Oreochromis niloticus: one gene and its partner. The protein of the gene in region 1 purifies or fractionates together with the protein of each later gene. This does not show direct contact. Links are inferred from orthologs where the notes say so. Each region holds a gene or a part of one and is shown in the gene's direction. Other genes may lie near its edges.

The links. Proteins that work in one complex are often made in the same cells at the same time.
Region 2: the proteins of dock1 (region 1) and elmo1 purify together in Homo sapiens (affinity purification with western blotting; 12 studies listed by BioGRID and IntAct, counting the BioPlex papers as one, with this or other methods). This does not show direct contact. The link is inferred for Oreochromis niloticus from reciprocal best matches to the Homo sapiens genes DOCK1 and ELMO1.

Annotation. Positions count from the first base shown.
Region 1 is NC_031973.2:11,209,037-11,217,346, reverse strand, and holds the start of dock1 (dedicator of cytokinesis protein 1), read left to right. Parts: upstream 1-4,945; 5' UTR 4,946-5,167; coding exon 5,168-5,210; intron 5,211-8,310. Other genes in the region: lg8h10orf90 ((E2-independent) E3 ubiquitin-conjugating enzyme FATS), read right to left, coding at 1,954-2,535. UniProt on the Homo sapiens protein: Involved in cytoskeletal rearrangements required for phagocytosis of apoptotic cells and cell motility. Along with DOCK1, mediates CRK/CRKL regulation of epithelial and endothelial cell spreading and migration on type IV collagen.
Region 2 is NC_031985.2:22,706,297-22,713,981, reverse strand, and holds the start of elmo1 (engulfment and cell motility protein 1), read left to right. Parts: upstream 1-4,192; 5' UTR 4,193-4,319; intron 4,320-7,685. UniProt on the Homo sapiens protein: Involved in cytoskeletal rearrangements required for phagocytosis of apoptotic cells and cell motility. Acts in association with DOCK1 and CRK. Was initially proposed to be required in complex with DOCK1 to activate Rac Rho small GTPases.

The DNA of each region.
Region 1 (8,310 bases):
TTGCGGCTGTCGACTTACACACGCAGCTGCAGTTTTACAGCAGATGCGCATATTATTAACGTAACTGCCGCAAATTTCTTTGTTACGCCCTAAAAGGGATTCCGATGTTAAACATTAGTTCTGCATGACCTTTCTGCCAGGTAACTTGCGCCCCACCTTCAAGAACTCTGCGCCACACACTTAGAGAACCACTGGTCTAGGAGTACTGATTTTTTTCTGTCAATGTTTGGTACATTTAAAAGAGTGGGGAAAGGCGTCCTTACATTCTTAAGATGATATGATGATGATATTGTGCTCTTGAGTAATTTAAAAGAAATGAAGTAGCCACTGTGAGATCATCCACTGGTTTGTGAAGTTTTTTTTAGCTGTTGGCATTTTAGCTTTTCCAAAAGAGATGTTATGTGAGGTGGATTTTAATCTGTCTGCACTTTGATAGAGTAGTTCAATTCAGTTTGATTTATATCACAACAGGAGTCCCCTCAAGGTACTTTATATTGTAAGGTAAAGACAATAATAGAGAGAAAATCCCAACAATCAAGCGACCCCCTTTGAGCAAGCACTTGGTGAAAGTGGGAAAGAGGAACTCCCTTTTAACAGGAAGAAAAGTCGGGCAGAATCAGGCTCAGGGAGGGGCAGCCACCTGCTGGGACGGGTTGGGGGGCAATGGGAGAAAGATGAAAAGAGAGCCAGAGATTAATTTTAACTAATGATTTAAGTGAGCTGTCAACAACAAGGAAGACCTGCTCTTTATTGTCCTTCTGGATGCTAATGGTGGCCATAATGTACAAAATGTGTATCATGTTATATTTAGTAAGATTTCAAACTAATAAATGACACCATAAGCTCAACGGGAATATGTTTACTGAGAAGATGAATCAAAGGGGGAAGTGGTCTGTTTTCCCCATAAACTTCCCAGATTTGCCTTCAGTGGCCATTAGAAAGGATCCATGTTTAAAGCACCTCCACAGTTGCTTATGTATTCCGTCAAAGAAGCTATGTCTATTTTTGTATACTGACTAAGACCTGCACGGTAAATATGATGCTAACACAGCGTCCAACTTCTAGCTAACAGGTTTTCTCAGAAAGACTGAAAAAGGAAAAGCTATAGCTAGTCCGTGTCTCTCCGACAATATCAGGCTAGCTGATTCCTCTGGTTTTCAGTCTAACTGGCACCAAAGTTAGTCAACCAACAGCCATGAGAGTATCTATTTTCCTAAATAAAGCACATCTCCCTTAAAGTTTTAAGTTTTAACCACAATCATTCAGAGCTTTTTTTTTTCAAGTGGAAACAACTGAAAATATAAACAGCCTCATTTTTCTCAGTCAGGAGTCACTAGGGATCTGCTTAATGCATCAGTTCAGTCAGATCTCTACAGCCCAGCAACTTATCAATTCAAAGCCATATTATCAGATCACTGGGTGATGCTCCTATTGAATTATTTCTGTACATTGACTTGCTTCTCTCTCTGGGCACAGAGCACATAGCTCCAAATGAGTCGTAAACCTTTTGAGAATGCACTGAGTTCCTGCAGAGTAAGCTGTTTTCAAAGGATGCCAGAGCGCTGCCTTCTTCCTGGGTAACAGAGACTTGACTACAAATGGCTCTCTGTGGCACTCTGTGTGTTTTACTCTACGGTGCCTGCCACAAAGCACCGTCACCTCCATTGCAAAACACTTAGCTTCAGACTCCATGAGCATACACAACACTAACATGCAAAAATCACACAATTCAAGATGATGCCAATGCCAAATCCAAGCTAAATCTTTGCCAGTGCTTGTTTTAAAATTGTGTTACTCTAACTGGTTTTCCAGAAAGGTGAAGAGTGCAACTGTTCAATTTCTCTACATTCTTCAGTCCTCACTAATTTAACTGCAGATAAAAGAATTTCATAAAATATTCTATTGCCAAACTTTTTTTTTATTTTTATTTGTACCAGGTGTTATGTGTCTTACATGGCTGGGAGCATGATCCAAAAATTGGTTTTGGTTGCAAGTGTCTGCCACCATCATCACTCTTCTTTGGATTGGCAGCCATCCAATTTTGACTGGAGAAAGATAACTAAGTTCGGCTTGTTCCTTTTCTGGAGCCTGCATGATATGGGCTCTCTCCCAGCTTCCTCTGCGCTCCGGAGGTGAAAAAACCCCAGTCTGGAGGGACTCCTGGCTGCCCAACGAGCTGTCACATAGGCTTGAACTCTCACATGAAGATGAGACCCTGCTGAAAGAGGGAAAACCCGTGTGTCTCCAAGCACGTCCAGTTGGCTCTTTGTTCAGAACAGGCATGGATGTTGTTCGGTCATTGAACCCTCGAGCCTGATTATGAGCTGGGGCTTTAAGTGTGCTCTGCATAGCCTGCAGGTGCTCTAGCCAGCTGTCCAGCTGGCCACCTTCAATGGCGCTCTGGGGCCGCGGTGCACGTGGTGGATGAGAAACAGCGGGCCCTTCTGACATCAAGCTCTCCCAGTAGGACTCATCTCCTGATCTCCTCCAGCCTGGAGTCCTCCTTAGGTGGGCAGCTGGCCTACGGAGAGTCATCCCTGTGGAGCTTAGGTTACCACTCACAGCTCTCAAGTTTCAGCTCCTCAATAAAAGCCGTTTACTGTGGAGGTATTAATGAGAAACTCCTGGCTCAAGCCGACTTCTTGACAAGAGTCATCCTAGAAATGCACTGCAAGGAATCAGCAGTTACAGTAATGATCAAGGTCATCTTTGTCACAGTTCCTGTTTTGAGAACATATGAGAACAAAGTTCAGAATTAGAGTTTCAGATATGTTATTTTAGGTTATAAGACTCACAACAGTTATTATCAATTTCATTCCGTGATGGTGGTGTTACTCACCAGTTAATGACGTACAGTCCTTTTTCACTTGAATCCAGTTCTTCTCACTCTTTAGTGTTTAGGAAGTAAACACTGCCTGTGTTGATATAAAGTAGGTGGTAGCGGGTACTGTCTCCAGCCAAGCAGCAAGTAGCAGTATAAGGGAAGGTTTGGAGGACAAAAGAGTTACTGAGCACAAGGGCTCAACATCCAATACACAGAGGAAGATGGGAAGAGACAGAGGGAGAGGCGGGCCGAAAAACAAACACTTGTTGATGTGATGCCTGACGTAACAAGAGCTCCATTTAAACAAAGAACATAGTCAACATTCATCATGTAGGGATTAAACTATCTAATTTTAGGTTACGGCAAGCCAAATACAGTATTCAATATTTTAAAAGGCAAGTCAAACTTCCTGACATTCAAGAGTCCTTTCAAATGATAGAGCATCACTAATGAGCAGATTATCCATGTTAATCCACGACTCACTTACTGCTTTGGTAAATCCTCTTTGTTCAGTTCCCCCTGTTTCGTCTCTTCTCTGTGATCTCGTGGTTGGTGGCTGATGATGAGGCATTGCTATCCTCAAGCTTCTATCCAAGCCATGTGACTTTAGCAAGACTGTCTTAAAATGGGCCAGTGTTTCTCGGGTAAGTAACTGTGACCCACATGATGTCATGCAATGCAAGAGAGAAGGATATTTACAAGGTGGGAAAACTTGCTGGGAGAAGGATTTTGCTTCAGATTTTATTCAGGGGCATCTTTAATCTTTAAATGCAGATCTGCAAAGATACAACTTCTTCCAACAACAAAAGAAAAAGAAAACTGGCGCCTGCTTTGATAATAATGAATTTCACTGTCCTCGGTGGATTACCAGTCCCTACATGGCTTTCAAAACAACTTCAGTATCACTGGGTGGAATTACATTTTCCAAATGTAAAAAAAAGACAAAGATAAGACAGAGGTGTCCTGTCTATCATTTGCAGTGACCTGCTTTAAGGGAACGTTTTTAAGCTGAGAAGCTGCATGTAGAATGAAAATGCAGTGATTTGAAACAATTTGCATAATTTTGTCCGCTCAGCCTGGGAGATAATACGTAAACAAATAGAAAAACTCAACTGAGTAAAGACAGAATTTGACCAGATAGACGAAAGGTAACTTCTTTCCTAGGCGAAGAAGTCTGAAAGCGGCAGCCCCCTCTGCTGGCACAACTTTAATATGACAACCTGGAGAGGAGGGAGAAAGGAAAGGGGATGGAAAAGAGTGTTTGTGGGATGGTGAACGGTGGGGGGCACGGTCTTAATAAGTTGAGAGACTTGTGCATCTAAGAGTAGGATGCATCAGTTGTGCAGAAAAGATAAATAAAGCCGAGCAGGTTCGAGCGTGTGAAGCAGGTGCATCACTTCTGTATCATCTGTTTAGCACCCGCAGCTTTAAGGGGCCATTTCTGCTGCTTGAATCAGCGCATTGCTGCTCAGAAATATCACGGTCGCCTTTATCATTAAGCGCCAGCAAGGAAGGAAATGAACGCTGACCGCATGTATTTTAAACCTGTGGTCGAGTCAATCAGATGAGTATAGTGTGTGTATCTGTGAACGCGTTTTACCTTAACACCATGCACTCTGAGGTAAAAAAAAAAGAAAAAAGAAAAAGTCTCCAACGCTACAGTCAACTAACTAACGTTAGGACTGAAACATGTTTAATTTGTGAGTTTATTTTATTTTTTCTCTCTAAAGCACATGAAGCACTTATTTAAACCCGACCCAAATGGATGTTACTATCACTATTAGTGATATTAATATTAAGTTTAGTCTTCTGTAGTTATCATCGCATTTATTAATTCAATCCCCTGCTGCTAAATCTGATTTTCTTATAACATTTGCATATACTAGTCTTTAGATAGCTTTTTAGAATGTTGCATTACATAATTAGCATATTTTTATATTAACATAAACGTTGTAGCCACCTTATGTGGATATTGAAACAAAATAACTAAAAAAATTAACATCAACCTTGAATTATAACTGCTTTATGACATAATGATATTTCTACGCCCTTGCAGATTAACCTGCAATCATCTAATCAGTCATGCAGCTCAGTGTGTAGCAGCGTCCGTCACAGCACGACCAGCGCTGCGAGTTTCGCAGGACGCCTGCAGGGTGAAAAAGTTGTGTTCCCTTCCTCCCCCTTGCGGAGCGTCCTGTCACTGGTGGAAAATGGCTGCTCGGAGTAACTCCCCAAAGCTCAGAGAAAACTGAAAAAAAAAAAGTCTACATTAATAACAAGAGGTCACATCTGGACCTTTTTTAACAGGCAGAGCGACAACTCGGGGAAGCCTCGACACTGAGAATGTCTCGCTGGGTGCCCACTAAAAAGGAAAAGTATGGAGTTGGTACGTAAGAAAACTTGCATGCTCCATCGCTAGCTCGCCCTAGCTCTCTGCTCTCAGATTGAACAAGTTAGGGAAGATTTGTGATTAGAAAGCGAACGACTGAGTTTTTCCCATCCGTGGGGCTGTACGCGGGATCCCGTGGTCATATTTGACAAAAGCTAGTGGAATGCAAATATTACGAGTGGGGAATGTGCCAGCTGGTTTGCATGAAATGCAGAACAAGGATTGTCTTGTCTTTTGTGAGGAAGAGGACTGTGTGTGTGTGTGGATTGGGAATTGTTAGAGGCGCGCCTAGTACAGCGGTGTTTCCTGTGTTATGGGGCCTCCGCTACAAACTAACTAGCTAGTTTCAGGCTACGCTGGACTTGTAACTCTGAAGTTTGATGCTTGCTTTTGTGTTTTTTTTTTACTGTTTTCGTCTTCTGTACCAGGGAAAGCCTTCCCTGTTGGTTGCTTATTGTCAGCTCATCTAAGAGTTTGAAACCTGGCTGGAGAGCATTGTGCCGTTTAGCTTCCACCATCTCCTTTAGGGGGGATTTATTCAACAGTATCGAACCTCGTCGCAAAAAGTAACTGTAACTAGTATGAATGATATGTCGAAGAACTCAGCTTTAAAGGGAAACTGCTATAAGGGCAGCGTTTGCTATGTTTTCCTGTAGGAAAAAGACTTGATCAGATACATCCAGGGGATGTTAGAATTATATTACTGTTAATTTTTTGTCTTTGTTTACCAGGTTTACCATGCTTTACGCACTAATATTCAGCCTTTAAAAATGACACTAATTGCACAAACCACATCTTTCCACATGTTTACTTTTTGGCTCTAGATACATTTGAATAATAACTATCCAGGTGTGTGATATAAAAAAAGAAGTGCTTTGAAATTTCTTTGGTAATTCCACTTGACTGTGGGATGGAACAGGGAACAATAAAAATAAAAAACCACCATGAGGAAGTTGAGGTCAGATGAAATCTGTAATGCACAGAATATAAGAAAAGAGTCGCATGACTTGTTGAGTTTTGATGGATTAAAGTTGCTCATTGCGCCACTGGATAGATTTTTTTTAGGGATCTTTCATTTTAGCCTTTATTTGTAAGGACAGTGGAGAGAAGATGGGGAAGCTGGAAGAAAAACCAGGGGGAAGATGCGTTGTAAATGTCCTTGGGGCGATTTTGAACCCAGGCCTTGCATTTGGGCTGCCTGGGCTTGCCCAGTGAGCCAAACCACTGCCCCAGTTTGTTATTTTTAATGTTCCACAACATACTGAGTTACTTTTTGGCTATGTCCATTAGTGGGACTGAGGGCTTGCAGCTGTATGAGGGTTGCCGAAGCTGACTGATGGATGAGTTCAGCCGGTTACGTGAAAGCACAGGTTTTTGGTCCGTTTCATGGCGATTGAAGTGTGACAAGTTTACAGTTCTGATGCTACTGCTTGTCCGTTTAGTCACAAATATGCAACGGTTCTTGAAAGTTGAGATTCTTCAAAAGCCATGGAGAAAATTCTTTCAGGGTTCAGTGAATGCAAGAGTGGATGAGTCATTAGTAAAAAGAGAAGCAGCTGCCACCTCACTGCTGCACAGTATTGGTTGGGTGCACAGCCATTGCACTTTTAATACTTTATGTGTTGACCAAGTAGCACTAATGAGCAGTCGGTGAGACACCTTATGCTAGCAGCACTCACTGAGGACCTATTTCTGTTTCAGCAAAACTTTTTTTTTTCACACCATTTACTACTCTCATAATGGTCCCACTGCTTTGTTTGTGTATGTGGAAAAAGTGTCTCCTTTTGTCTTCTCACAGCAGCATTAATAATGAATGGCACTGTCTTCTTGCATAGAGCATAGCAGTGATTACGCATGTTTTTGTCCTCATACTGGTGTATTCACATTACAGTATTTGTGCAAGCAAGTCTTTGTATAAAGCCATGTTAGATTTGTGTCAATAATAACCAGAAACAAAATAAATCTTTGTTTTTCTTATTTGTTTTTGTTTTTCTGTGTCATATTGCGTAGCTCTCTGCTCATTGTTATGCTTCACTATGTGGAAAGCGAAGCACTTCAAACCTTGAACAAAACCAGAGGAGCTTTTTAGTAAACTAGCCTTTTTTTGTTGAATGTAAAGCTTAGTAATATATTAGTAATATATCCCTGTTGGGTAATGATAACGTGCAGGTTTCTTAAATTTTATTGCAGTATGGCTGTAATCTCAGGATCAGCTGGTCAGTTGTTTGGGCAGCACACTCTTATCTTCTTCTAAGTAACACAATAACAAGTGTTGCTTTGGTGAAGAAAGAAAGTGCTACATCAGTAGCTTTACAAGATTGGTCCATGGTTATTGTCAACAAAGGGGAACAGATGATTTGCGTTAGGGTGGAGGCTTATAGTGTGACCATATCTGAAGTGGCATATTTCGATGTGCTTGTTCCAAGAATAGTTTATCTTGGCAATCTCCAGAGTCTGTCTGCAGCAGCAGCAGCTACACCCACACCAAACTGGATGTGAAGGTGTTTTTGAAAACTGAAAAAATGATTGTAAAACAAATCTAATGTCCAATGCTCAAGATATTAAGACCATTAGCAGAAAGGTGAATCATTCTTCATGACCATACATTAATCATTTATATACTGCAAACACTAACTTTTTATGCCAGTTTATTATTTAGATGGAGTGCACTCTTTAAAGGTTACATTGTTAAGACATTAAATTACAGAACATTCAAAAGTCAGTCTTTAAAATGTTAATTTCACAAGATAAAGTTAGACTACACCTTTATGTGGTTCGAATTATAAAGCTGATCTCTGTTAATAAGGTGAATGTTTGCTTGCAGAGGTTCCAGGTTACTGTCTGAGGGCACTAACATGTCCTCTTAAAGGGATCGTGGACTTAAGCGTTCCTGCCAAACATATGTAACTAATGTAGTGAGCAGGGAGCAGCTTTGTAAGCCATAATGTATGTTTATGACTGAGTGCCTTCACTTCCTGTGATTTTTCCTTTGAGTATTCACATTGTACTAACCTGCCAAACAAAACTTCTATTTCTCACCTGACCTTTAATTGACTAATGGAATCATTTGGAAATAAAAAAGGGAGGTGTGGCTCAA
Region 2 (7,685 bases), on another chromosome or scaffold:
AACTCTAATAATTAACCGTAAGAACAAAATAAAGTTCAACATCAGTAACATCGCACCCACCCAGCTGTATAGAAACTCCGTCATGCTAGCTAGCACGCAGTACGAAAATGTCAGCATACCGAAAATAAACTCCACCTAAACTTGGTTTATATCTGACTCCGATAGACTGCAGGTCATAACTTCTTACCTGAAGCTCAGTTCACCTGACACGGGTCTCTCCTCTTGCCTCCCTTTTCCTTCATCCACCTGCTGGCCTCCACCACTTGCTAATGTTATTGAATCTGTGGAAGCTCCGCGATATCCACCACACGAAGTAACGAGCCTATCTAAATCCCAGTAACGAGTAACGCGTTCCTGGTTTTGGCATAATAACTAGTTACCGTGCTCGTTACCACAATAATAACGTAGTTACTGTAACGCGTTACTTAATAACGCGTTAGTCCCAACACTGGTAACAGGCAATTGACCAAATGTGTGATGCTGTCATCCGTCGGCACCTTGTTGAATTTATGCTAAGAAGAATTCAAGCACTCCTAAAGGGAAAAGGGAGTTCAACCTGGTAAGACTTTAGGTTAGCTGTGTGTGGATTCAACTTGTAATTTGAAGTTAATAATGTATTTCTAGACATTAAAGGTTGTTATTTCCCCCAAAATAGGCAGCTGGGTTAATTTAAAAACAACAAGGGGCAGGGATAGCTCAGTAGGTAGAGTGGTGGCCCCGTGATCGGAAGGTCGGGGGTTTGAATCCACTGAACGGCTACCCTGAGGAAGGTACCGTCCCTCCACACTGGCCGCCCAATGGCTGCCCACTGCTTCACTGAGTGAATGGGTTAAATGCAGAGAGGAATTTCCCCACGGGGATCAATAAAGTATACATTATTATTATTAAAAAGCAGGTGAACACATGAAAATAATAAAATAGAAAACCAGCTGTTATACAGTGGAATACAAGTTATCTGGATGAGTGGATTTGTGTGTTTAAGAAACCCCTCTTTTATGTCTGCAGTATGTCATGAGTCCTTGTCAACGATCAAGCGAAGACCTCGAAGCCTCGGAGGACTCACAATTACAAAAGAAGCCCTGCATCATTTTGAATCCAATTTCTGTGGGATGCTGAAAGAAAACATGAATCTGTCAAAAAAAAAAAAAAAAAAAATCATGGATAGAGCGAACTGAAGAGAACAAGGAACGACTCACTAGCCGAAACACCCATTCATCATCAGACTCGGTGGTGCTTCTGTTTGAGCATGTATGGCTTGCCAAAGGAACTGGCACGCTGCCATCTATTGTTATTGTTGGTCTATTGCTGAATGTAACAGGGTGGTCTAATTAAGCTAAATGCACTGAAACCCAGCGGACAACGCTTCGTTATTAAACGATGATCCTAAATCGTGGCCCGTTTAATCACTTGATCTCAGCTTGAATGAAGACAAGTCTAAAGGTAAGAGCATCGTGTTTAGGCAGGTAAAATCTGATTTTGACGTTCTCTGCTGAACACCAGTCTTCTGTTAACAATCAAATCTGAAGCAAAAACATGCAGCTCTTCAGATACGTATGGTCTGGATTTGTTTTCCAAAATATGGGAGGAAAAAAAGAAAAGTAGACAATTAAACCTTTATGAGCAGAGCTGCTGCACTTAACTCATGAATAATAACCATGTTTGCCAAAAGGGAAAATTAAGCAGCACCAAGGCTTCCCTCTGTTTTGATAGTGTTATCTGATATGACATTAAAGTTTCACACCAGACACGCAGATGAATGGAGGTTGGCCCACTGTTTGTGAAACAGGATGTGTCCAAATCAGAGCGAGTTACACAAGTGACAACTGACATCTATAAAAAGAAATCAGTCCAGTGCTTACCTTCTGAGTGCAACACCAGAAATGAGAGTGACTCTGCAGTTTTACCGGCTTGCACTGTGAGTCTCCACTTGATTGAATGCATCATGCAATGCTTTTTTAGGAGTGTGGGCTGTCTTAAAGCTATATGGCGAAATAGAAGATGAAAATATGACCTCATCTCTGAGCCCTTCGATTTGCTCTTGAGCCCTCTCAAGTTAGAGTCGGGGATCCAAAGGTCACAGTGACCGAATGACGCAAATAACTCAGAGGGATAAAAGAATGCTTTTGTTTGCTTCCCCAAAAGAAAAGCAGCAGTAAGTGCTGTTTATAATATATTACATACCATATCAAGCATGCTGAGTGTGCTCACGCAGCATTCATAGGTCAAACAAAGATTTATTATCGGAGTCAAATCTGTATGCTTGCACAGAAAAACAAAATGTGTTGACGCATCTTGAAAAACACATAAAAATATCTGTTTTCTTCCTCTTATATTTTTGGGTCAGGTGTGCCTGTCCTCGCAGCCTATTTATGGAGTCAGATTGGGTGTGAAGTCGAGGACGCGGGCTGCCATTTAAACGGGCCGAGTTTTGCATCCTGTGTTTTTCGCAGAGAGAAAAATAAACAGAATGAGGGACTAAGAGATTTCTGTTGGGTGTGTCGCTCCAGATTGTTTGCCAGGACGAACAGGGCTCCTGTATTAATCCTCCTGCTGCTGCTCCCGCTGAGTGGAGACGAGGACGAGCTGCAGAGCTGCCTGCCACACGCTCTTTTTCTCTTTCAGCCACAAATGCCACTCATTCTGGTACCAAGCACAGCAGGTAATTAACGATCAAAATTAAAGGGACGCCGTGGCTCGGAGATGCTGCAGTCTTTACAGAGTGCCTGTAACATTATGCTCCCAGACATAAAGTAACACTAGAAGGTCATAATCCCACCCTCCAAACAGGAGGACATTCAATAACCATGAATTATTGAAAGCACTGTTCCCGTTTGCCTTTCCTTTCCCGAGAGACTGAAGGCCGATCTGCTTTTGTTTCATCAGTTACTGTGAAAAAAAAATAGACGTCTCCTTCGGATTTGAGTTGTTTGTCAGGTATAATCTGTTCAGTCGTTGCCGTAGCAGGCCCACCATTTGTCATGTTGGTGTAGGCTCACTCGGGGAGGCAGAAGTCCTTTCTAATATTTCATTTTTTCCTAAATTATTCTCAGCCGAAACATAAGCGTGTATTTATTTTCAGCCTTGTAAATTCTCTGTGCAAAGTCATTAATGATGAACTGCAAAGTACATTTAGTCCTCTTGAGGAGACAGTCCCTTCTTTATCAAGAATGATGTGTTTTTTTAAGGATCGTAGTTACTAAAGACATCAGGGAAAATCAGCAAGAGCATGAAGTAACATTTAAGTATATGATGTAACACAGACTATTGTGTTCTGCTCTTTTCTTCTCTAATCAGTGTTTTCTTCCAGCCTGTTTTTTACTCTTTTTAATAACTTCCAGATAGCCTACACATATGCCTTTACACATGATCCATATTGGGTTTTAATGTCATTTTTGATTGCCCTGCATCTAGGAGTATAAACAAACAGTAACAAATATAAATTAGAGAAGAAGAAAATACATCAAATACACACCATTTGTTTTCATTTTCTTGGAAAGTGTGCTTTACTGTGCAAGAATGTTATAACCGATGAACAAAAATCAAACTGGGATGGTCATCTTCTTGCTTATCTTGCAATTAACCTAATCCAACGCTGATATCAAATGCTTTGGGGATGATAAATTAATCTTTATAGCACATATTTTGAAGGCCTCATAAGAAAAGGTGCTTCCTGCTTCTTCAGCTTCCAGTTTTCTGTGATCCTGATATTCCTGTTAGGTGATTTTGCTCTTGCATCCTTATCCAACATACACCTACACACACCCATACACACCACTGTCACCACACGCTCCCTCACTACATGTTTAGTTAAATAAATTGACAGAGGGAAAATGAGGAGAGGATTACTTTTACAGAGTGAAGGTTTCCTCTCAGAAATACTCTGTAAAACAAGAATAAAGTTTTCATTTCCCTTTCTGTATGTTGGCACTGCACTTAAAACTGTTATTAACCAAACCGAGCTAAGCTTTATGGCTAAAATAGTAAAATAACGATTTTCCATCCTGTAGAAAAATAAATAATTACCAAAAAGTCCCCTTCCTCCTGTTCACCAGCGGCTGCTTGAGTTTTGCTGCTGTCATGCATTCGTGCATCCTCTGTTTGGCAACACAAGCCAGCCAGCAGACGGCAGAAGAAAAGAGGAAGTGGAAACATCAGCACTATCTCTACGGCAGAGGAGAGAGAGAGAGAGAGAGAGAGAAGGAGAGGAAACACCAGTGAGTGACACGCTCTCACACACACTCTCTCTCTCTCACTCACAACACACACACAACTCCGGACATCGGCGCCTTTTAGTGGAAGAAGCGTCCTCGCGTCGTCAGGTTGGTGAAAGCCTCGTTTCCCTCTTCCTGCAGAAATGTTGATGTTGCTGAAATTCCGTCTCACTTCCTTCGCGTTGTGGCGCTAAATGTTCCTGGGGGGTGGCTCGCAGTGTTTTTGTGTGTTCGCTGCGCTCTCGCCACGGCATGCCCGAGTCTCTGTGCGTTACGCCGGAGCGAGGCAGCGAGTGTTCCTGCGCTCACGGCTCTCTCCTCCTGCCTGTCGCTACTTTGTTTTCGGTGGCCTCACAGCGGCTCCGGGCGCTGTTCTTTTATTGACATGCTCTTTCTGATTTTTTTTTTGGATTTTTTTTTAAGCATCACTGCTCCCTCTCTCTCTCGCAAACATGCATGTTGAACTGCGATGCATAAATGAAAGTGCCAGCAAATCCAGGCTTTGTCCTCGGTTTAGTTTCTTGTTTTTCCCCTTTTTTGAAACAAGTGCACAGCAACGCTGCAAGTTGCGTGTTTGCGGCAGATATACAGCTAAGAAGCAGCCGAGGTCTCTGCTTTGCCCGGCTTGTGTGATGGAAGTGCATGCTGCTGATGGCTAAATGCAGAAAAAAAGGAAGAAGAAGGAAAAAGCTGTACGTCTCCCCCCCCCCTTAATTAAAGAGCTGCTTTAATTGTGCGCGGTGTGTAACTCCAGCCCTGCACGCTGGCCACACCGCGGGCCTGTGATTAGGCGAGAGGAGGGAGAGAAGAAGCCGGACAGCCTCTGATGCATGCAGAAGCTCTCTGCTATCCTCAAAACGAATCAGAACCTGCGATACCAACATGAGCTTCACTCACACCCTTTAAAGCTGTCTCCTTCACTTCTCTCTTTTCACTTCCGGTGTGTTTTCACCTGACCTCCCCTGTCAAATCAATGCGTTTTAATGAGTGTTGTTTCCCAAACTTCTGATTAGTCTTGTCCCTCAAAAAAAAAAATAAAAAAAATGAAGAAGAAGAATCTGTTGTCACTCCTCCCCTTGCACTGGCTGGATATCCAATTTCTTTGGGTAGAAAGACAGTAGTTAATCAGTTTTTCGTCATTGCTGATTTAATAACCTTCTGCTTTGTTTTCCTGCCTTACTCTTGTGGAAAGAAACAAGACGTTAGACCACATTAGACCTCTGTTTGCAAAGATTTGGCCCTAAGTAGCTCCCCTTCTTCTTCATTACAGCAGAAAGTATATTAATATTGTTGATAAACAACACAGGGGCTGGGTGCATCATTCCCAAGCATTTCGTCTCCAAATTGCTCTTACGAGGAAAGACTGTGGAGTAGATCAGCTAATGTGAGATGTATATCAATTTTGATTTCATTAAAATATGATATCAAATGTTCTTCCAGCGTAGCCGTCGGATATCTGGACGTATTGGGCCCAAAGCTTCCTGTTGTGTGCGGTGGTCATAATTTAATAACGAATCCAAATGCATTACTCAAAGTAATTAAAAGCCTAAATGCCAATCAAAGGATAGCTGATGATTTTGCGACTTTGATTCTTCCGGTGCATGTATTTATTTTTTAGTTCTCCCTACAGATTATTTACTGTTTGCAGCCAAACCCAAAAAAAGAAAAACTTCTGGCACTGAAATCTTGTCTCTTGTCTGCAGATTCTATAAATTCATAAGCAGATATGTGTGGATTGGAGTGATTATTATCTCAACACCTCATGCTGTGATTGAGAGTACACGACGAATAGGTAGAAATCAGTGAAAAACAGACTCAGAGTCCATAGACTAAAGGGATGTAATGGATGTTAAATCTGAAATAACCTCCTGTAACAGGATCGCTGTGACTTGATTCCGATGTGCAGCTTCAAATCCATCGCACTGTGTTTTCCCTGCAGTGAAACGAGAAACAGTCCCATAATGCTTCCCTGACAATGCTTTTAAACCTGTGAGATAAGACGAGGCGGATGGAATCAGTGCTGAAGATGAGAAAATCTACCAATTTGATGCCACGAATCCCACTTTTGTAACCACCGTTTCATTATTCCTCCCTCACTTCAATCTGTAGCTGTTCTAAAAAGACCTCAACAGCAGACAGCTCGGCGTGTCTCGGCGCTGTCCTCATCGCATCAGTCATCGTGCAGCCCTGGGTCTGCGCTGTTGTCTGCGTTCGGACCCTCTGCTCCTCTGGGCAACTTCTGGCAGAGTGAGAGCTCGTTTATACGCCCCGTTAGCCGCCAAAGACGTCCCTGTTGTGATGGAACCGCAAGCATGTTGGCGTCATCGTGTCATGGCGAGATTGTAGCCTAGAAGCAAAAGCACTGGGACACACGCAGTCATTACACCGGAGATGCAGAACTTGACCAGAAGGGATTCAGTGGAGTTGTTTTTCCAGTAATAATGTCCATAAGAATATTATGCACCCCGTGACTTCTTATGACTGTGAGTTACAGATTTTCAGCAGAGGTCTGGCACAGCTTTACCACTCAAAGAAGGCCATTTATGAGCCATACTGGGGAACAGAGCGCTACCTGTAGCCCCATCAACCCTGGCTGTGAGGTTCACCGTGTTGATCCAGCAGAGTCATATTTCAGGTTTACGTTCACACGAGGGACCCGTGTGCTTAAGTTTTTATCAGCCGCGGCAAACCTTCATTTCTTGTTAGCTCCCCTCGCCCGAGTAAATATTTCTTTAGCTCTGCAGGGTTTTAAAAATCAGCAGTAGAAATGGAGTGTTGCAACACAAGAGCAAAACAAAGTTGGATGATGAAATGCGGCAGCAGTGAGTCACCAAACAAACTGATGGAATTAAAATTGAGTACTTGGGGCTTTTTTTTTCTTTTTTTTAAAATCCTGAAATATAATCCAGGAAATCAGATTAGTACACAGAGGCTGAGATGGAGAGGCATTTGGGGAGAGGATGGGTGCCTGCCCTCGCCTCTTTGACTTGCATCACATGTGAGATCCTTCTCTGTACCCATTTGACGCTCCCTACTGTTTGGCATCTTCTCACCACCTCCTCAAGTGCAACCCTGCTAATTTCCTACTCCTCACGTCTGACAACCCCCCCTCGCCTTTTTCTTATTAGCTTGCTCCCTCGCTTATGCTTCCTTTCTCACACATGCAATCCGTCTCTTGCAGTTTCCTCTCAGCTGCGCACTCTCACGTTGCACCCCCCCCCAATCTACTTTTTCACTCTCCGTTGTTGCTCCCCAAGGGAAGCCGAGGTATGTAAATTGTTTTCTCCCTGATGTATCCCGAGCTTACTGCTTGTTCATCTTAAGCCGCAACCACGTAAATGCAAGTTGTTCCAAAAACAACGCTTTTAAAACTGAAGCGATCTTTATCCCACGAGGGCTTTTAGCACCTGTTCAGAAGCAATCTCGGTCTATTACTGTGAGCTGCCGTTCAGGTACAGTGAACTCGTGAAAATG